4 linked regions of the Arabidopsis thaliana genome follow. The main gene of each other region encodes a partner of the protein of the gene in region 3 in a complex. Each region holds a gene or a part of one and is shown on either strand. Other genes may lie near its edges. The genes, in order: TAF11b, HAF2, TAF5 and TAF15b.

What was found.
Region 1: TAF5 (region 3) and TAF11b share a complex: the UniProt entries of both Arabidopsis thaliana proteins name them as parts of the TFIID complex.
Region 2: TAF5 (region 3) and HAF2 share a complex: the UniProt entries of both Arabidopsis thaliana proteins name them as parts of the TFIID complex.
Region 4: TAF5 (region 3) and TAF15b share a complex: the UniProt entries of both Arabidopsis thaliana proteins name them as parts of the TFIID complex.

Annotation. Positions count from the first base shown.
Region 1 is NC_003070.9:6,936,355-6,939,392, reverse strand, and holds TAF11b (TBP-associated factor 11B), read left to right. Parts: upstream 1-1,726; coding exon 1,727-1,818; intron 1,819-1,972; coding exon 1,973-2,495; downstream 2,496-3,038. Other genes in the region: TUB5 (tubulin beta-5 chain), read left to right, coding at 329-598, 678-1,360; AT1G19990 (nucleolin), read right to left, coding at 2,728-3,031. UniProt on the Arabidopsis thaliana protein: TAFs are components of the transcription factor IID (TFIID) complex that is essential for mediating regulation of RNA polymerase transcription.
Region 2 is NC_003074.8:6,572,603-6,577,626, reverse strand, and holds the start of HAF2 (histone acetyltransferase of the TAFII250 family 2), read left to right. Parts: upstream 1-2,013; 5' UTR 2,014-2,074; coding exon 2,075-2,108; intron 2,109-2,344; coding exon of another isoform or gene 2,345-2,360; coding exon 2,361-2,585; intron 2,586-2,836; coding exon 2,837-2,928; intron 2,929-3,018; coding exon 3,019-3,193; intron 3,194-3,586; coding exon 3,587-4,697; intron 4,698-4,848; coding exon 4,849-5,024. UniProt on the Arabidopsis thaliana protein: TAFs are components of the transcription factor IID (TFIID) complex that is essential for mediating regulation of RNA polymerase transcription. Core scaffold of the TFIID complex.
Region 3 is NC_003076.8:8,675,048-8,682,847, reverse strand, and holds TAF5 (TBP-associated factor 5), read right to left. Parts: upstream 5,800-7,800; 5' UTR 5,732-5,799; coding exon 5,556-5,731; intron 5,243-5,555; coding exon 5,161-5,242; intron 5,076-5,160; coding exon 4,997-5,075; intron 4,881-4,996; coding exon 4,783-4,880; intron 4,685-4,782; coding exon 4,628-4,684; intron 4,512-4,627; coding exon 4,424-4,511; intron 4,331-4,423; coding exon 4,221-4,330; intron 4,094-4,220; coding exon 3,986-4,093; intron 3,908-3,985; coding exon 3,756-3,907; intron 3,574-3,755; coding exon 3,463-3,573; intron 3,389-3,462; coding exon 3,319-3,388; intron 3,230-3,318; coding exon 3,193-3,229; intron 3,045-3,192; coding exon 2,889-3,044; intron 2,800-2,888; coding exon 2,723-2,799; intron 2,627-2,722; coding exon 2,510-2,626; intron 2,093-2,509; coding exon 1,827-2,092; intron 1,363-1,826; coding exon 1,267-1,362; intron 1,179-1,266; coding exon 1,106-1,178; coding exon of another isoform or gene 1,061-1,105; exon of another isoform or gene 847-1,060; coding exon 790-846; and 2 more. UniProt on the Arabidopsis thaliana protein: TAFs are components of the transcription factor IID (TFIID) complex that is essential for mediating regulation of RNA polymerase transcription.
Region 4 is NC_003076.8:23,636,892-23,642,971, reverse strand, and holds TAF15b (TBP-associated factor 15B), read left to right. Parts: upstream 1-1,998; 5' UTR 1,999-2,117; coding exon 2,118-2,304; intron 2,305-2,434; coding exon 2,435-2,528; intron 2,529-2,650; coding exon 2,651-3,284; intron 3,285-3,423; coding exon 3,424-3,574; intron 3,575-3,653; coding exon 3,654-3,732; intron 3,733-4,282; coding exon 4,283-4,406; 3' UTR 4,407-4,524; exon of another isoform or gene 4,525-4,676; 3' UTR 4,677-5,557; downstream 5,558-6,080. Other genes in the region: AT5G58480 (O-Glycosyl hydrolases family 17 protein), read left to right, coding at 146-489, 659-1,745. UniProt on the Arabidopsis thaliana protein: TAFs are components of the transcription factor IID (TFIID) complex that is essential for mediating regulation of RNA polymerase transcription.

The sequences.
Region 1 (3,038 bases), on a different chromosome or scaffold from region 3:
AACAACAATCTCACGTGATTCGTTTTTTTAGTTACTTTTGGTCAGGTCTCACGTGATTCGTTTTATACATTGATTATTTAACTTCAATTATAACTATGAGTCTATGACTACTAGTGTGCATTGTTATTATTGGGGAGAAATATTTTTTAACGCATATTGTAGATTCATTGATTATTGTTTTAAAGCATTGTAGATTCACATAAACATTATAGTTGATTTAGTTAGCAAGGACTAGTAACAAGATGTTTGCTTGACTATATATGAACACTTTTTCGTCTCATCGATGGAACCAATACTATGTGAATCATGGGGCTGCATTATTTTACAGGGTTTCAGGTGTGCCATTCGTTGGGAGGAGGCACAGGTTCAGGAATGGGAACACTATTGATATCGAAGATCCGAGAGGAGTATCCAGACAGAATGATGCTCACTTTCTCTGTTTTCCCATCTCCTAAAGTCTCTGACACAGTCGTTGAGCCTTACAATGCAACTCTCTCTGTCCATCAGCTTGTAGAGAACGCTGATGAATGCATGGTCCTCGACAATGAAGCTCTCTACGATATCTGCTTCCGTACCCTCAAACTCAGCACTCCTAGCTGTAAGTACACCCAATTCTTATCCTCCATTAACCCAAAATGTATTTAAAACTAATTCTGATACATTGCATGATGATGTAGTTGGAGACTTGAACCATTTGATCTCCGCAACAATGAGCGGTGTGACTTGCTCCTTAAGGTTCCCCGGACAACTAAACTCTGACCTCAGGAAACTCGCGGTGAACCTAATCCCATTCCCTCGTCTCCATTTCTTCATGGTGGGTTTTGCGCCCCTCACTTCCCGTGGCTCGCAACAATACATCTCACTCACCGTTCCTGAGCTGACTCAACAAATGTGGGACTCCAAAAACATGATGTGTGCAGCTGATCCACGTCACGGACGTTACCTCACAGCCTCTGCTATTTTCAGAGGACAGATGAGCACAAAAGAAGTCGACGAGCAAATCCTAAACATACAGAACAAGAACTCGTCTTACTTCGTTGAGTGGATCCCAAACAACGTGAAATCCAGCGTTTGTGATATCCCACCAAAGGGGCTCAAAATGGCGGCGACGTTTGTGGGTAACTCGACGTCGATTCAAGAAATGTTCAGGAGAGTGAGTGAGCAGTTCACGGCTATGTTTAGGCGTAAAGCGTTTCTGCATTGGTACACAGGAGAAGGAATGGACGAAATGGAGTTTACGGAAGCTGAGAGCAATATGAATGATTTGGTCGCTGAATACCAACAGTACCAAGATGCTACTGCTGATGAGGAAGGTGAGTATGATGTTGAAGAAGAAGAGGAGGGAGATTATGAGACTTGATCCACCAAATCAAACATTTTACTTAAAAGACAAGGAAACGACTCTTGGAAATCTCTCTATTTAAATTTGATTGAAAAACATTGAAAAAATGGGAAATTTGTTTAAATGTGTTTTTTGTTTGAGTAATTTGTTCAAAGAAAGTTTGAAGTTTCCATTTATTTTGGGTGTCTTGTATTTTCCATTTGAGATAATACGTCCTTGCTTCTCAAGCTACTGTGTAGTATATAAATTTTACACTTCTCTCAATTGTCCCACATCGAGTAAATTAGTATAAAGGAAGCTAAACTTTTGCCTCTATAAATAAAGATACTTCATTTCCCACCGACTTTTACATTTGGGCTTCTTAAAAAATAGGCTTGACAATAAATGGCCTTTAACGCAAGGTCTTGTTGTTTTGCTAGTAGCAACGAGCGGGTTACTTGTAACTGCAATTGTCTGAAAGATCAGCCAGTGCCAAGGTACTTGTAATTACAAGTACAAAAAATTGATTTCTTTGAGTTCATGTTCATGTCGGATTTTTTCTAGTGTGGTCGGATGTGCAACAAAAAAATTGGCTGAATTTTGGAGTTTTAAGATCCAAAGATATGTGATTTTCGTTAAGGTTTTATTAAGAATGAAGCATTCGAAGGATCCGTTTGAAGCAGCAATGGAGGAGCAAGAGGAATCACCTGTTGAAACCGAGCAGACTCTTGAAGGAGATGAGAGAGCTGTGAAGAAATGTAAAACGTCCGTTGTTGCTGAAGCGAAGAACAAAGATGAAGTTGAGTTCACCAAAAACATAACTGGTGCTGATCCTGTGACTAGAGCCAACAAGATGCAGAAGATTTTATCACAATTTACAGAGGAACAAATGAGCAGATATGAATCTTTCAGAAGATCTGGTTTTAAGAAATCAGACATGGAGAAGTTGGTACAGAGAATCACAGGGGGTCCGAAGATGGACGACACTATGAACATCGTTGTGCGTGGTATCGCAAAGATGTTTGTTGGCGACCTTGTGGAAACAGCTCGAGTTGTTATGAGGGAAAGGAAGGAATCAGGACCTATTAGACCTTGCCATATCAGAGAGTCATATCGAAGACTAAAGCTCCAAGGAAAAGTGCCTCAAAGATCAGTTCAACGGCTTTTTCGCTAGTCAGAATGACGAGGTTACAAAGTAGTGACATGGACGAAGAGTAACTATCATGCTCTAAACCAAACGTGATTAAGTCTTTGCTTAATAACTAAAGAAGTACACGATAAGATCAGAAACAATTGGCCATCTCTCTCATTACTCTTAAAGAATTCACCTTTCAAGCATTCTACAAATTGACTCCCTAAGAAACGATTACAAATAACACAATGAGATTTCAGTCTTTTAATTCAACCTACTTGGCTCTAGCCTTTTTAGAGACTCTGCTAGCCAAAAAATCATCATCTGAGTCGTCATCATCAGAGTTCTTCTTCCTCTTCTTCGTGGTTGGTTTCGAATCATTTCCCTTCTTTTTGTTTGACAAAGCTTCAGATGGCGACTTTTGTACTTCCTTCTTCTTCACGGTCACTGATTTGGAGTTGCTTCTTGGAGTAGAAGCAGCAGATTTTACTGGAGAACTTAATTTTCCACCCTTTTGCAGTTTCTTCTCAAGAACTTTCTTTGCTTTTTCGGCTGGAAGCAATCCAGACTCCATCAACCTGTGAT
Region 2 (5,024 bases), on a different chromosome or scaffold from region 3:
TTCTTTTATTTTTTCAAAAATATTCAAACGGCTAAGACATTGAAAAAAGCAGTAGAGACTAGAGAGGGTCCATTTTAATTCGAATTATCTCGCCTCGTGATTAAAATATATATTTCCTAGCGGCTTATGTCAAAGTTCGAGATAAAATAAAAAAAATAGACTAATTTTGCGTAGGATTTGGTTTGGTTTGGGTCTGTTACTATAAGAATGAAATAAAGAGACTATACAATATACACCGTAACAAGTATATCCTTTAATTTTGTCATATGACAATTATTGTTCTTCTTTTTCTTTTTGGACATGGATAATTATATTTTGTTTCATTTTGGTAAATTAGGGTCCTGTTCGTTTGCCTGTGTTCGTTTGCTTGTCTGTGTTCGTTTGCCTGTCGCTGACGACTGAAACCAGCGACAACGACCAAAAGTTGTTTGTTTGCATAGCGATCAAAAGTAACGACAATCGCCAGCGACCAGCGACCGCAATTTTTGGTCGCTGAAATTTTTAGCGATCAGTCGCTGATTTCAGCGATTAGTCGCTGGTTTTAGTCGCTGGATCCAACGACATGCAAACGAACAATTTAGCGATCAAAAAATATAAATTAAAGAATAATTAAAAATAATTAAATTAAACAGAATTAAATTAAATTAAACTTAAAATAAATGTCTTTTTGCACTCTGAACGGTTGTGTCTTTTAATCGCAACTTTCCGTAAAAAATATTGATGGTTGTTTTTTCTCGCTTGTGTCTTTTATTGCAACCTTCCTATATTGTAATTTTCTGTCAAAATATTTACAGTTATTTTTTCCGGTTAGTTATATATATACTATTGAATAACTACGAAATTTAGAATATGCATCATTTGGAGTTAGATTTGTTTTAAAGAAATTATTATATAAATAAATTTATAATATTTTTCTCTGCGATATCAAGAAAGGTTTGAGTTCTAGTTTAATTAAAATAATTCTTATTAAATTAAGTTAAAATAAATTAAATTCAAATAACATAAACTAATTATAGTCAAATTAAATTTGATAAAACTAAAATAAATAAATCTATTAATTTATTTTTCTCATGGTGTATGATATATATGATTTACATTTTGATTTTAAAATATAAATTAGTACCAAAAATAATTAATTTTAAAAAAAAATATAGCGACTGTTTATAGCGACAGTCAAACGAACAACACAACGACAATTATTAGCGATTGTTGATGTAATTGGTCGCTGAGTCCAGCGACAGACAATCGAACAATATATGTTGTCGCTGGTTGCTGTCGCTGGTCGTTGGTCGCTGTCGCTGGATCCAGCGACAGGAAAACGAACAGGGCATAGGTTTTGTTTGTTTTATTTAGTATTTCTAACGTAAATTTTAAAAAAGCGCCAAAATCTAGAAGAAGAGTAATATGCGAGAAAATCACTTTTACTCTTATTTATTTACTTGTCTTGCCAAATTTCCATCAAAATTATTAATTACTTAATTATATAATTTTTGACTAATTATTTACTTTATTGGACCCGGGATATGTAACTAAATGGGCTTTTATTGGGCTGTATTCTGTGGACCATTAATAAACATAATCTTTGAAGTGCAAAAAAAAAAATGGGACCCGGGACAACTAAATCAGAATCGGGGCGGGTTATAAACTTTTCCCTATAAATTACCACTCCGATGTTAATACCCGCCTCTTTGATCCCTCAGACGATTTCTTCTTTCCGTTGTATCTTCCAATCACCCGATTGAGCTCCGCTTCACTTCCTCCGGCTAAATGTGTACATACTCTCAATTAGGAAACCGCCAATCCCACATAACGTTGAATGTCGTCGTCTCGGTTAGATATCAACGAGGGTTTTGTTCTTGGTTCCTTACTAAACAACAAAATTTGACGAAAATTGGTACTTGGGTATGAACGTTGTTATTCCCTAATTGTACCGGAAAATTTGATGGTGGTATGTTTCCCTTGTAGGTTTTCGTTGAGTCGTGGATTTGTTCTTGCTCCTGATTCTTTTCAGTAGTTCCTTTGCTATTTGGGAAGCAAAATTGTCACGCCACTCTTTGCATTCGAGGGTTTTATTATGTCTGAGTCCAACGACAACGAGACTTCCGCAGGTTATATTTGCAGTTTCTTACATGGTTTCTTCATTAGTGTATTGCATTCTCCTAGTTTTGCTCTAGTCATAATCTACTTATTGTGGGATAATTTATTGCTCAGCGTTTTGAGTTAATTAAATAGAAGGTTTTTATGTTTGAGATTTTGATATACGCAACAAGTCCCACCCATAGCAGTTACAAACTGAAACTATTTGCCACTACCAATTCCCGGTCATCAGCTTCACTGACTTGTGATGATATGTCGTGTAGATTATGGGAGCAATGATGAAGAGTATGATGGGCCTGAGCTTCAAGTAGTTACTGAGGAAGATCACCTACTACCAAAAAGAGAGTACTTATCAGCTGCATTTGCTTTGAGTGGTTTAAATTCCAGAGCTTCTGTGTTTGACGACGAAGATTATGATGAACAAGGAGGACAAGAGAAGGAACATGTACCAGTTGAGAAATCTTTTGATTCAGAAGAGAGGGAACCAGGTTTGCTTTTGAAATTTCCGTTTCTTGAACAAAACGATTAGCACACTCTATTCTCTACTTTTGTTTTGTCATTTCATTAATCTCAGATTGGTTTAGTTTTCTCAACACTTATACTTGTTTAGCTCGGGAAAATAATCTCTTGTTAAGTTGGAGTCCAGTGCGTCATAAATACTAGAGATCAGAACTCTTGGAACTTTTCTTAGATTCCTTTTGTGTTAGTGATTATGAGACACTAAACATTATTTTCGCAGTTGTCTTGAAGGAGGAAAAGCCCGTAAAGCATGAAAAGGAGGCTAGCATCTTGGGAAATAAGAATCAGATGGACACAGGAGATGTCCAGGAGGTCAGCAAGAATGATTTCGGTGTCTCAGATAACATCTTTTTTTGTTGTGGAATGATTTTGTTCTGTTAGTGATCTCATTGAAACGTTCAGGAGTTGGTGGTTGGATTATCAGAAGCTACTTTGGATGAGAAACGTGTCACCCCGCTGCCTACGTTATATCTTGAAGATGATGGTATGGTCATCTTACAATTCTCTGAGATATTTGCTATACAAGAGCCACAGAAGAAACGGCAGAAGAGAGAAATTAGATGTATCACTTATAGAGGTATGTGATCTGCAACGGCTTCCTAATTTTGTTTATTCTCAAAAGCCTTTGAATTTTTTGTGCTTTCCATTGGGATGTTAAAATCTACAACAACAATGATTTCTCAAGATTTTCAGTATCTCCCGTTCAATTCTAAAAGCCATTAGGTGTCGAAAGCATGAGAAGTTTTTTGTATGTGGCTCTGTCTTTTCTTGGCAAGAATTTAGTAGATATGTATATTTGGTGCTTCTGAAATGATATACATTATTTTCTCTGTTTCTCTCGTTATCTCTCTGCATTGTTCTTTTCTGTTTGTAATTCATCACTTCTTTTAATGTAACTAGAATAGCTGAGAAAGTTCTATGAAAACAATTATCATATGAGACTCTTACATCATAGCCTTCTTTGGTACAGACAAATACATATCTATGGATATTTCTGAGCTTATCGAAGACGATGAGGAGGTACTCCTGAAGAGCCATGGTAGGATTGACACTCATGGGAAAAAAACTGATCAAATTCAGCTGGATGTTCCCTTACCAATCAGAGAGCGTTCACAGCTGGTAAAATCTGGCATAGTAAGGGATACTACATCAGAATCGAGAGAGTTTACCAAGCTAGGAAGGGATTCATGTATCATGGGTGAACTGTTGAAGCAGGACTTAAAAGACGATAATTCATCTCTCTGTCAGTCTCAATTAACAATGGAAGTTTTCCCTCTAGACCAGCAAGAATGGGAACATCTAATACTCTGGGAAATTTCTCCTCAATTTAGTGCTAATTGTTGTGAGGGCTTCAAATCTGGACTTGAGTCAGCAGGTATAATGGTACAGGTGAGGGCTTCAAATTCAGTGACTGAACAAGAAAGCTTAAATGTGATGAACTCTGGAGGGCAAACTCAAGGGGACAATAACAACATGCTCGAGCCTTTTTTTGTAAATCCGTTGGAGTCTTTTGGCTCAAGAGGTTCCCAGTCTACAAATGAGTCCACTAACAAAAGTAGACATCATCCACAACTCCTTAGATTAGAATCTCAGTGGGATGAGGATCATTATAGGGAAAATGGCGATGCTGGACGGGAGAATTTAAAGCAGCTTAATAGTGACGCTCGTGGGCGCTTGAGTGGACTTGCATTGCAAGATAGGGATATGTGGGATGAGTCATGGTTAGATAGCATAATATGGGAGTCAGATAAAGATTTGAGCAGGTCTAAACTAATATTTGATCTTCAAGATGAGCAAATGATCTTTGAAGTTCCGAACAATAAGGAAAGAAAATATCTTCAACTTCATGCTGGATCTAGGATTGTATCTCGATCTTCAAAATCCAAGGACGGATCCTTTCAAGAAGGCTGTGGATCAAATTCTGGGTGGCAATTCAATATTTCTAATGACAAATTCTATATGAATGGGAAAAGCGCTCAGAAACTGCAAGGAAATGCTAAGAAATCTACCGTACACAGTTTGAGAGTTTTCCATTCGGCACCAGCGATTAAATTGCAGACGATGAAGATCAAATTGAGCAAGTAAGTGAGTCATTTGAATTTTTACATCTTATTGTATTTGTACGCTTCATTGTTACATTCGTGTGTGGTCTCAATGTTGCCACTGGATATATTTTTTAAATACATTTTTTTAGTGGTTTATGTTAAAAAGTTTTGATTTAACTCATTGCAGTAAAGAGAGAGCAAATTTTCACCGGCCCAAAGCTCTGTGGTATCCACATGACAATGAGCTAGCCATAAAGCAGCAAAAAATTTTACCCACCCAAGGTTCCATGACAATTGTTGTTAAGAGTCTGGGGGGTAAAGGATCACTGCTAACCGTCGGCAGAGAGGAATCTGTCTCTTCTT
Region 3 (7,800 bases):
ATCTCATATAAGAAGATAACGAGTACCACATTCCCACATATAATTCCAAATGTAGACAATTGTCTAGTCACACAACCAAATCTACTTTTGGTAGATTTTATGTCTCATCCAAAATTTTGATGCAAATGTCTTTCAAAACATGTTTTTTTCTTTCTTTTCTTCTTCAGCTCTCAATTTTATTTTATTTTTGTCGTCAGCTCTCTATTTATTTAAGTACCGTCTCTAGAAATTAGGAGAATTAAATGTTTTCACAAAATAAAAAATATGTTAGTATCTGAAAAGTTTCTAAAAAATATGTTCTCTAAGAAAAAACATAATTCACAACATACCACATAACCACCCACCCTGTCTTAAGAAAGATTTCTCTCGACACACGATGTCTTTTTGGGGAGATTCATTACATGTTTCTATTTTATTAACGTTATAAATTTTGAGAATATTTGGTTGTTGTTCTTTGCCTTATTCATTTCGAGTAGGTTTTGATTCATGATAGAGGTGACATGCTTAAACTAGGGTGTTTATTAGAAGGAAGAATGTGGCTTTGACATGCTTAAAGTAAATCTGCTCCAAGTCGAAGATAAGTGATTCCTGGATTGGGACACATGGCATACATAAGCAGGAGTAGTTGTTCATTAAAAGAATCTTCAACATTTTTGGGATTTAGAAATGAGAAACAAAAGCCACAAGCAAATAATCTTTGGAGATAACTATTCTACACCTGATTTCTTCTGAGATCTACAACAGCTTGTAAGAATGTTAAAGCATCAATATCTGATACCATTGTTTTGATCAGTTTGCGGGTTTAGAGATCGCTCCTGCAGCAAACAACAAATTTCTCCGAGAAAACTGCATCAATGTAAAACATGAGTTTTAGTGTATGCCTCGATCAACGAATCCTAGGTGTTAGAGGAAAGGTTCTATATGATACTGATGGATAAAATCTGTTTGGCACACACCCTGAAACTTTGGTTCTAATCAAGTGTTTGGTCACTCATTATCGGGATGTGTTGATCACAAGCACAACATGATAAACTTAGGGATGAGAGAAATACCACGGTGTTTAGAGAATGGTGGAATTAATTCTAGTAAAGAAAGCATAACTTACCCGGAGAGCGTGAACTGGTGTGGACTTGGTGGGGAAAGTCCTGAGTGAGCGCAATCTGTTCGAGTTTCCATTCCTGATCAATCACAAATGATAAATCGTTTTTAACAAAACAATCTACCATTCAAAGGGAACAACAATACAACTTGAAAGAGCAAACTCACTTTTCCTCGGCCTTTGTCAATTTGGTACTTGAAGTGACGTCCCACAGTTTCACTGTGCAGTCTGCGGATCCAGAAGCCAGAAGAGAGCCCTCCCCGCTGAAACAGGAAAACAGGTTAGTCATAAATTGTAGTAGTTCTATGATTTATCAAAGTGGAGTTTACGGTTCCAATATTCCAAGCAAGTGGATTTTACCAACCAAAACCAGTCATTCCATTAACGACCCAACACATTAGGCCTATACAACATTCCACAACCCATGACAAGAACCCTATGTTAGAGCTAACACAAGAGTGCGTGGATATAGAAAAATCTACCAGTTCAGTAGTAAGTCACTGTAGAATTAATAGAAATAGCCACACCATACCACTCTATATCATAACCCTGAACTACCCTTTAAAAAATGTTGTCCTAGAAGAAATTCCAGAGATGATAAAGCATATCAACCAAAACCAATAGTTGGCTGAAAAAAGGATCATATTACGTTTTCATTGTGTATTACTAACTCAATAAAAGTTGAATGATCAAATAAAGCTATTTTCTTCTTCTCTTGACACCTCACCTGTATGAGAGACTCCAGACACATGAATTATGGCCCATGAGAGGAGTGATGCAGCGAGCAGTTGAGAGGTCCCACATCATTATAGTGCCATCTTCATCACCGGAAGCCATATATCTCCCATCTGGAGACATCGCCAATGATAAAACCATACTCCTGTGCCCAATGAATATCCGGACACATTCTCCAGTTTGCACATCCCAGAGTCTAACCGTCTTATCACTACTACCGGTAGCAATGTAGTTACAATTGGGATGCCACTGTACACACTGAAATCAAATGCATTTGACAAGTACAACGAAAGTCGCATCAATAGGTATCCAAAGAAAAATTGAAGTTACTGATCTGACTTAATGTCAATCCAAATAGTTAAGTAATCCATCGTAACCTTATGACTTTAAGCGTATTGGCTAACAATCTTTGGATCAACTATAAACTGGACGATTCTTAAATTATGAATGTCAGGGTCACGTTAAAATAACAAGTGGGTACTAATCTAAGTCAATAAACAATGTAAAATGTTAGATAAACCATTGTAAACATTGATACGGTGAATTAATGACTTCAATTGCATAATAAAACGTTTTAAGAAATTTATCCATGCATTTAATTAACAACTCAATTGGTCCCTTCGATTTAACCTTTGCAAATTAAACCCAAACAATGAAGATGAGGGAGACACTCACATCAACATCAGATAGATGCCCTGCCATTATCCGAAGAGGTTGTATTCGGTCCATTGACCAAATCCGTGCAGTACGATCATGAGAACAGCTTGCAAAGTAATGACCGAAAGGGCTAAACTGCACCATAAAATGAGTATATAATATATATACATGTCCAGCCACCATAAATTGCAGGTTATGTAAGAAACATGGGTTAAATTGAATTAACTATACCTGGGCATCCCATACAGGGTAATTATGACCCTTGTAGCACACGAGATTAGCATTTAGTTTTGTGCTCCACAGTCGTACTGCACTTATGAATACAGGGTTGGTAACTAAAAAAGTCTGAACTAATGAGCCAGTGTATGGATTTGTAAAGTGATGGACAGATACATACTTGTTGTATCTGCTGAAGAAGATAGAACAAAATCTCCAGGGGGACTGAAAGTGGCTGAGTAAACTGGCCCTGAATGACCCAGTAATAATGTATAACTTCTTCTGCCATTTGGTCCTATGCTTTGATCACTTGAATCATTTTCAGCCTGCAAAGCACCTGGAACCAGACAGCTTAGTGTCTATAACTCTCATGGAAACAAAAACAATCATTATGAGAAATCAACAAAAATGACAAGCGAAACGTATGAGATAAATATCATTCTTAAACGTGGATGTCAATACAATTTTTCAGAGAATTAACATACCACTGCCAGCTTGTCCTATCTTAGCCATGTCCCAGACCTGAACACCATAATTGTCACTTGGCATCATTTAAGAGAGGAAGAAAACAAAAAAAGGGAAATGTATCCAACCATCCGAGAATAACATACCTTTATTGAAGAATCTGAGAACCCACCAGCAACCAGAGATCCATCATGAGATATAGATGAACAGTTTAACCTGGGGGAGAATAAAAGAGTGAGTAACAAGGTTGCAAATAAGTAGTTAAAATTAGGAGGAGAGGTGGACATTACCCGTTATGAGTATTCACAAATGTATAAAAGCTGACTGATGGCATTGCAACACTACTCAACTGCACACGGTTTCTAAGGTCTTCAAGGATGGATTGCTCTACATCTGTGGACCTGACAGAGAAAACAAGGAGATGGAGCAAAATTGATTTATGTTAAAGGAGGTTGAGTCTTTGACAAATACAAAGACTATGTTCATTTCTCCTAAACAATCATGCATCACCCATAGATATCACATGTTCATTCCTTTTTAATCAAATCCCAACACAAAAAATGGGTAAGGGATTCGAAAGTACATTACTGGCAAGGCAAGTTCTGGTTTTACACGCGGCGCCGGTGACACCGTAATGGTCTCCAGACGTGCAACTTTTGCTGTTGCATTACCCGCTTTGTCCTTCTTCAACTTTTTTAAGGAAGAGCCTTGCTTTCCAATTTCAGTGGATCTTTTCTGTACACAGAATCAATTGACGAGTAAAAACGGGATTTCAGTTCAGAAATTATTGACTAAGTTGAAGCTATGTATCACCTTACTATCATCTGCATCCCCGTCTTTACTTTCTCCTTGTCCCTTCTCAGAATCAGACAGCAGACCTCCTGTCTTCTCAAGGCGATCTTCTAGTGAATCTTCAAGCAACTGTAAAAGAAAAATGCATATGTAGCTATTAACTACGCAAATATGTTATCATCCCTGGGATGAGGCATCAACATGTTATAACTCTGGAAAAATAGAAGAGAAAAGAAACTTTAGGGGAAATACGTACTCCCCACTGTATTTCTTTTTGATTAATGTGATTAGCAGTGTCCTGAAAACTCCCGACAATGGTGACAGCTTCTATGTCATCGGATGAGGAAGTAGGCTGTCCCGAGTAGACTGCAACAAATTATCCATGACCAATTGATTCAATTTTCTACTCAAAAAACTGCTACAAGCTATCGCATATATAAGAGAAAGAAACACATTTACCTTGGAAATTGATGTGCTCGTTAATAATACCAAGCATTAAAGTCGATACTGTACTATGTAGATACTGAAGTAACAGCTCATATGAATACTGCAACATTCAGTAAGCATATTAGAGGTCTGCAGTCACGGAATTCAGTTAATCAGACCAGAAACCTCGAAGCAGTTGCCTATTACAGCTACTAGTCAATTTTCACTCAAGTCTACCTGACAAAACTTGATGTTAACCTTGCTTTTTCTAAGAGAACGAGCAAACTCCATCTCCTGATAAGAACCAAGATCATAAGAAAGATAATAACCAAAAAAAAAAAAAAAAAAATCCATTATCAATATTATATGACCATATAAGGTTTATCATAAACCTCTAGATGAGATGGAGAAAGCACGCCTTCAAGCTTCTGAAGATCCCGTAAGTGTACCATCTCATGATCTTTGCGGAAGCTGTTAAAGAAGGCTCTAGCTGGAATACAAGAGACGTATTATTTCCCACAGTAGCATAAGTCACTGTTTCCAAAAATCTTATACCGAAGGTAAAAAAAATACTCAGTACATCTAATTTGCTATATTGACAAGTACCTTCTTGAGTGTGCCCTTTCCCCACCAGATCCATGTAACAATGAATAAACACAGGATACATCACTCGAAGCAATTCATGCTACAAAATTAGAATCATCTCGTCAGTTCAATTAAGCCTGTCTCTACCCAAAACAGCCAAGGGATACACAAAAAAAAATCCCCACCTTATATAAATCCAGAGAATTATACGCCCATGACCTTAGTTTGCTGTAACCTTCACGGTACCGAGTTGGATCATCTTCTTGTCTGCAAACAAAAGAACAGACATTTCATTACCATTAGCTCTCTCTACATAAGCCATACAAAAAAACCTAATTTCTTGCCACTGAGATGTCATCAAAATCTTAAATTTGACAGATAAACTGATAGAAATATTCACATAAACTTCACCCAGAAAGTGAATTATATTCATTTTTAGATTCTCAAAAACGTTGGAGCTTACATAATTTTTCCTTACGGTTTTCAAAATTCACAAAAGACACTAAAACTTTCCCAAAAATTCAAAACACAATTCGCATTAAGAATTGAAACGAGAGAGAGAGATAGGGAGAGAGATTACTGAGAAAAGGAGCGAATGAGCTTCGTGAGCTCAGGATCGTTATGATAATCGACAGAAGTGAAGGAGCTACCATTATTGTTCTGGTGATGATAAGATTCAAGGTCTTTAGCAGCGCTACTGAATCCTTTCTTCTTCAAGTAGCCCACGACGAACTCGTTGATTTGCTCTGGATCCATTGTTGTCTCTCTCTCTCTCTCTCGATTCAATTTCCTCTCCTAGAAACTTGTATCTCGTCGCTGAAACATCTTCAGTTTTTTAGATTCCGTGTCTCTACAAAACTGGGCCTGTTTCAATGGCCTAATTGTGGCCCAAATATAATAATTTCAAAGTTATGATTAAAACCAGGCCCGTCTATGGGGGTGGCAGGTTGGGCAAATGCCCAGATTCAAAATTTACTAAGAGTTTTTGAATTATAAGCCCATGACCTTACTTTGATGTAAAATCTCATAACCATTTTCTTTTTAAATTACTTGCTTTGGATTCTCTATTTCAACTTAAAGATTGGGACAAGATACCAATATTTATTGTTTGAGTAATTAATTCTTACAGAATTATTGAAAATTATCCAAAAAAATGTTATCTTCTCAAAATTTCTAACTTTTATTTAAAAAAAAAAATAACTTTCCAAAACACCCAGTTTAAAAATATTTAAACAATAATTCTTAAATCAAATGTTACAATGGTTAAACTAAACACTTGCAACAATTTATTGTATATAAGACAAGGTCAGTTATTTCCTCCCACAATGGTTAACTCGTTTTCTAAAAATATATTATAAAATTTTGGATATCAAATAATCAAGAAAAATTCTTTCAAATGCCCTTTTCATGATGCCCCTTTTCAACTCTACCCTTTTGTTTTATCCATTTTTATTTATATTCTCTTTAAATTTTTAATTACCATTTTACCCTTATTTGGAAATTGTTTTAGGTTAACAAAATGAAATATTAATATTTTTTCGCCTAAAATATTCTAAAATAAATTTCCCGCCAAAATTTTCCCGCCAAACCTTTTCGAAAAAAATTCCCACCAAAAATTTTTGAAAAACATTTCCCGCCAAATTTTGTTTTCAAAAATATTTTTCCCGTCAATTTTTTTTTTTGGCGGGAAATAGATTTACAAGGAATTTTAAAAGAGTTTTAAAAGATTTACAAGGCAATTTAAAGGGGTTTTATAAGATTTACAAGGGATTTTAAAAGGGTAATTTACAAGGGATTTTAAAAGGTTTTTAAAAGATTTACAAGGGATTTTTAAAAGGGTTTTAAAAGATTTACAAGAGATTTTAAAGGGATTTAAAAGATTTACAAAGGTCTTTTAAAGATTTTTAAAGGGTTTAAAATTGTTTTAAAAGGATTTTAAAATATTTACAAGGGATTTTAAAAGGGTTTTACAATATTTACAAGGGATTTTAAAGGGTTTTAAAATATTTACATAGGATTTGTAAAGATTTTTAAAGGGTTTAAAAGTGTTTTGAAAGATTTACAAGGGATTTTAAAACCTTTTAAAATTACTTGTAAATCTTTTAAAACTCTTTTAAAATCTCTTGTAAATCTTTTAAAACTCTTTTAAAATCTCTTGTAAATTTTTTAAAACTTTTTAAAAATCTCTTGTAAATCTTTTAAAATCCTTTTAAAATCCCTTGTAAATCTATTTGGCGCTAAAAAATATTTACAAGGATTTTTAAAATATTTTTTTTGGCTGAGGAAAAATTTTTTACGAAAAAAAAATTTGGCGGGAAATTTTTTTGTTGGCGGGAATTTTTTTTTTTGGTTGGAAAAAAGTTTGGCGGAAACTTTTTTTTGGCGGGAAAAAAAATATTTTGGCGCCAAAAAATTGGCGGGAAAATTTCAGTTTCCAATTACATGTTTTTATTAGATGAGGGTAATTTGGTCATTTTGTTCAAGGGGAGAGATATTTTTAAAAATGGACAACATGAAAGGGTATTGTTGCAAAAGGGTAGTAAAAAAAGGCTAGTTTTGCAAATCTCCCAATAATCAATACATATAATTTTCAAGAACCAATCAAGTCCTTATATAGTGAAAAACTAGTATTTATTGTTGTTCTATAAAATAGTTTTCTATGTATGGTTTTTAAAATCAGTTGTTGTTTTTTACAGGGGAGTCAAATTCAATCAATCACAAAATTTTATTAATAAGATGTTTTATATCTTATCTCACTGTTACTATTTCAAGGATGTGTTTTGCACGGAACATCTTCATGATAAGCTTATTTTACAATAAATCAT
Region 4 (6,080 bases), about 15 Mb from region 3:
GCCCAATTTCTAAACACCGTGTCGTTTTGATAGCTAAATAACAGTGAGATGCTGAGTCGTGAAACGGCACGCAGTGTTTTGTTTTTTTAAACATTGAATTTCTCGGCCCGACATTATCGTGGAAGTACGAGATTCACTGGATTTGATGGCTCGTCGGCTGTTTCTCCTCCTCCTCGCCGTCACGGCAGGGTTGAGCTTGACGGGAACAACCGTCAGAGCAGTTGGCATAAATTGGGGGACAGAAGCGTCGCACCCTCTTCCGCCTTCAAAGGTTGTAGAGCTTCTGAAATCAAACGGCATTGTCAAAGTGAAGCTCTTCGATGCCGACCCAAAAGTTCTCCGAGCTCTCTCTGGTTCTAATATTGGTGTCACTATCGGAATCCAAAATTCGATGCTCAAGAGCTTGAATGCATCCGTAAAGGTAGCAGAGAGCTGGGTACATGACAATGTCACTCGTTACTTCAACGGTGGAAACAGAGTTCGAATCGAGTATCTTCTTTCTCCTTCTCTTCTGCTTATCCAGTTATATATATATAGATTTAAGATTTTTAAGCTGGAATTTAACTTATGGAATGTGAATGAGTCGGATTTGTTTCAATGCCAAATTGCCAATCTTCTTATTGTGAAATTATCATTAAAGAAAAGAATTGATTTTCAGGTATGTAGCAGTTGGAGAAGAGCCATTTCTCCAGAGCTATGGCAATCAGTATAAGCCTTTTGTGATTGGGGCAGCTATGAATATCCAAAATGCTTTAGTTAAGGCGAACTTGGCAAATGAAGTGAAGGTTGTAGTCCCCTCAAGCTTTGATTCCTTTCTTTCTGAATCTGGTCGACCTTCTTCAGGACACTTTAGGGCTGACCTCAACAAGACGATGATTGAACTCCTCTCCTTTCTCACAAAGCACCACTCTCCTTTTTTTGTGACAATCTCTCCTTTCCTAAGCTTTCACCAGAACAAGAACATCTCCCTTGACTTTAGCCTCTTTAAAGAAACAGCAAAGGCTCACAAAGACGGACGTAAAACCTACAGAAACAGCTTTGATCTAAGCTATGACACACTTGTCTCTGCATTGTTCACAATTGGGTTTTCGGAGGTGGATATCGTTGTGTCAAAGATCGGTTGGCCTACAGATGGAGCAGAAAATGCAACATCACTGACTGCTGAGGCGTTCTTTAAAGGACTGATAGTTCACTTGGAGAAAAAGACGGCCTCTCTCCCGCGTCCTCCTGTTGAAACCTACATTGAAAGTCTCTTGGACGAAGATCAGAGAAACTTATCTGCTGGGAACTTTGAGAGGCACTGGGGAGTGTTCACTTTCGACGGTCAAGCCAAATACAATTTCAGTTTCAACCATAAGAATCAGGTAAACGCGCAGAATGTTCAGTACCTTCCTCCTAAGTGGTGTGTGGTGAACAATAACAAGGACTTGTCAAACGCGTCAGCAAGAGCATTAGAAGCGTGTGCTGTTGCGGACTGTACATCGATACTTCCTGGCGGGTCGTGTTCAGGCATCAGATGGCCAGGCAACGTTTCATACGCGTTCAATAGCTTGTACCAGCAAAATGATCACAGTGCAGAAAGCTGCAACTTTGGTGGACTTGGTTTGATCACTACTGTTGATCCTTCTGAGGATAATTGCCGGTTCTCGATTCAACTTGACACTTCTCATTCATCTTCGCAAACTCCAAATTTCTTTCAGAGCTGGCCTCTCCTCTTATTGTTCCTACTGTCCGGACTCTTTTAAAGTTGTAGTTATAGCAAAATTTTGGTGGATTTTGCCTCTAATTTCTCTCTAATAGCCACATTTCAAAACTGTATTGGGCTACGTAAAAAATAACTGTTATTGGGCTGGGCCTTCGTAAAGGTTAGATGATTATGGGCCTTAGAACCATGTTGTCTTATTTGATAAAAAAAGCAAGTCCAGTTATTTTGGGAAACCGGTCGGTAAAAGATAAGATGTAAAAGAATTTAAGATTTAAGATAAATGCAATAATAAAGTTCCACTATTTTTGAGAGAAATATAAATAAAACGCGAGATTTTTTATTCTACGTCTAAAAAGGCTCTCACACGATTCGTTAAGAGTTTTGGTCTGTTGTTTATCGCAAACCCTAGGTCATGGCTGGGATGTACAATCAAGACGGCGGCGGAGGTGCGCCTATTCCGTCGTACGGTGGTGATGGATACGGCGGAGGGGGAGGTTATGGAGGTGGTGATGCTGGATATGGTGGACGCGGTGCCTCTGGCGGAGGTAGTTACGGCGGACGCGGTGGTTACGGTGGAGGCGGTGGTAGAGGAAATCGAGGTTTGTGATTTAGATTGTTGCAGATCTGATTGATATAACCTTATGATTCTTTAGATTTCTCCATTCCTTGCTGAGCTACTTTTGTTAAATCTTTAGTTTCTCACTATTTCGATGATTCGTTTTGATTTAGGCGGTGGAGGTGGTGGATATCAAGGAGGTGATCGCGGTGGAAGAGGAAGTGGCGGCGGAGGCAGAGATGGAGATTGGCGTTGTCCCAACCCCAGGTAATGATTGCAAATTATTTGGGATTCCATTCTTTCTGCATATGTAATGAATTGAATTAGCTGTTGAATTCCTTTGTGGGAGCATGTTTTGAAATTGTTTACCCTCGAAACTGTTTGTATAGTTGTGGGAACGTGAACTTTGCAAGGAGAGTTGAATGTAACAAGTGTGGTGCACTTGCTCCTTCTGGTACTAGTTCTGGTGCTAATGATCGTGGAGGTGGTGGATATAGCCGAGGTGGAGGTGACAGTGATCGTGGGGGTGGTCGTGGTGGTAGAAACGATAGTGGTAGGAGCTATGAGAGTAGTAGATATGATGGTGGAAGTAGGAGTGGTGGTAGCTATGGTAGTGGTAGTCAGAGGGAAAATGGTTCGTATGGTCAGGCTCCTCCTCCTGCTGCAGCTATTCCATCCTACGATGGTTCTGGAAGTTATCCTCCACCCACGGGTTATGGAATGGAAGCTGTTCCCCCGCCTACAAGCTATTCTGGTGGCCCGCCGTCATATGGTGGTCCACGAGGGGGTTATGGCAGTGATGCACCGAGCACTGGTGGTCGTGGTGGTAGGAGTGGCGGCTATGATGGTGGTAGTGCTCCTCGACGGCAGGAAGCTAGTTATGAAGATGCAGCTACTGAAAAAGTCAAGCAGTGCGATGCTGATTGTGATGATAATTGTGATAATGCTAGAATATACATCTCTAATTTACCTCCGGATGTGACAACTGATGAACTCAAGGATCTCTTTGGTGGCATTGGCCAAGTAATAACACTGGTCTTTTACTTCTGTTGTGTTTTATATCTTGGAATAAGCCTTTCCCTTGCTATAAGTTATTAAGTTCTTGTTTGTGTACATGTTTATTGGTGTGCTGATAAAGTGTGTCTGGTTGGATCTATTTTAGGTTGGAAGAATTAAGCAGAAGCGTGGTTACAAAGATCAGTGGCCCTATAATATTAAGATTTACACTGATGAGAAGGGTAACTATAAAGGTGACGCCTGTCTGGCTTATGAAGATCCCAGCGCTGCACACTCTGCAGGCGGCTTTTTCAACAGTATGTACTATGGAATTGCTGTCTAGCTTAAAATTGTTTAAAAGTTCTGTTTCGTGAATGGTGGTGGATTGTTTTGTAGATTACGAAATGAGGGGGAACAAGATTAGTGTAACGATGGCAGAAAAGTCTGCGCCCCGTGCTCCTACCTTTGACCAGAGGTAGCTGTCCTGATCATTTATCAGCATTCTTTTTTGTTACCATTTAGCTGTTACCACCTGCTCCATCTTATAGGTGTTTGTACTCTAGTTGTTTTAGGCTTTTAGCTTTATAATTTTAGTAGGGAATATGAGTTTTTGCAATGCTAAGTTTATGTTCCTTGTCTCTGAAGACTGTTTGGATCTTGTATCCTACTGGGGATTTGCTTTGTACACTCATCTGGGTATGACAGAAAGGGTTGGGAGTTCGTATGTCATCAAATTATGCCTTAGGTCTATGTTCATGCCATAGGAAATAAATCTATGTAGTTATCTTGTAACCTATAGCTGTGGCTGCTCTTGGTTGTGAAGAGATCTGTTGTTTGTTCATGCTTCTTATAAGCTCCTAGTAATTCCCCATATAAGTTGTATCTTTATCTGGTTTTCCATGCTCTATAAGACTCGTCTTTGTTGTGTGTTGAGTCACTTCATCTTACGTAGTAAGCTGGTTTTAATTAGAGATGTCTGTGTCTGATCTAATAATGTTGTCCTTGCAAACTTGTGAATGTCGCAGAGGTGGGGGTAGAGGAGGAGGAGGTGGTGGCTATGGTGGTGGTGGGGGAGACAGAAGAAGAGACAACTACAGTTCAGGGCCAGACAGAAACCACCATGGGGGAAACCGGTCTCGTCCATATTGAGAGAAAGAGAGGAATGAATGAATCAGCTGTTATGTGTTCTAAGAGTTTTGTGTGTGTTAAGGAGGGAATTTTAGTAAAATGTTCTATGAATCCTCATATTGGAGATACAAAAAAAGAGGTAGGTTTTTGTTCACTTTGACCTTGAGCAAAATTACCCCTTTTTTCTCCCTACTTGTTCTGTTTCTTTGGGGATCTATTATTCATGCATCTCCGGTTTATTTTTAGTTTGTTTTTCACGATGTGAAATGTTTGTTTTTTGTTTTATTGAAGGAAGCTGATATTTAACTGCAAAATGCATTGCAAATTGGTGCTATGATGATTTCAGGTGAGTGCATTCATCTTGATTACTTCTTTCAACACCAGAAGTCCCTTTTTTGCTTCTCTTCCTTCTTTTTTTGACTCTGTTCAACACAAACAAAACAGTCGTATGTTTTCATGTTGTATTGTGTAATGCATTCATTTAGGCAACCACACTTCTCTTTACAATTTTCGGAGTTGTTATCGTTTTTTCTCGCAAACTTCTTTTATAGCAACATGTGTTCCTCGAGAATTGGCAGGAGTGGGGGATGGCTAGGCACTTGTGTCTGATCAGTTGATCTGAAGTATGCAGTGACCTTTCAAAGATCAACTTGATGATTTTATTGCCAACTTCACTCACTGGGGCTATGATTAGGATTAGGGTTTTACAAATGAGTGGCCTTTTTTTGGATAAAAGACGTTGTTAATAAATAGTTAATCGTTCAATCTGGATCCCAAGGACTAAAGAGAAGGGTGTCTCGTAAAGTTCTCTATGTGTATATGTCATGACCTTTTGGTCAAGTGCCGGATTGGCCAACTCTTTAATGTGTTACATGTAACGAAAGTTTATGTTGAAATTATAGGAACAAAAAAGACTAATGCCGAAAATCCCAAGAGAAAGTTTATTAATGACTTGTTGTGTAGAAAATATGGACGAGAGAAAGAATCCAGGAAATTTGGAATCCTGTAACATTAGTTTCAAGATTCCCATTCTCAATTCGACAAAGAGAATCCATCTTCTAACATTGCATATTCACAGCTCAATCGCTGGCTGGCTCTAGCACACGGCGATATTACTTATTTACCATCCCTTTCACACACATATTGGATAATATACATATTCTTAATAAAAGTCCACCAGTAGTCTTAAGCATAAATTTACAAAAAAAAAAAAAAAAAAAAAAAGTAAGGCAGTAACAATGTAATTCTAACAAACTGCTTAGATGTGTGAAATCCAGATATTTGTAAGTTGTAACTTGTAAGACCACACTATTTAATACTTAATGTGTTCTTAACCTCAAATTGACAATACCTGCGATTTTTCTCACTTTCGACACAATTTTCTATATGATTTGAACTTCAACAATTCTATATAAAAAAAGGTAAAATATTTACATGCAAATAATAAACTTACCCATTACCATATCTTGTATACAAGAAGCTAAACGAAGGAGGGAATGAAGTAGGAATCACATATAAGCAAGAAGAAGCTATGGAACTCAGGATGGATAGCGCCAACAGATATACATGTACGCATATACAAAACATACAGCACTGGTGAGCCATGGCGCTATCCCTCCTGAGCTTTATAGCTATTTCTCTACTACTCAATCTGAAATTTACATCCATAGGTATGCATCTTCCTTTACATATGTG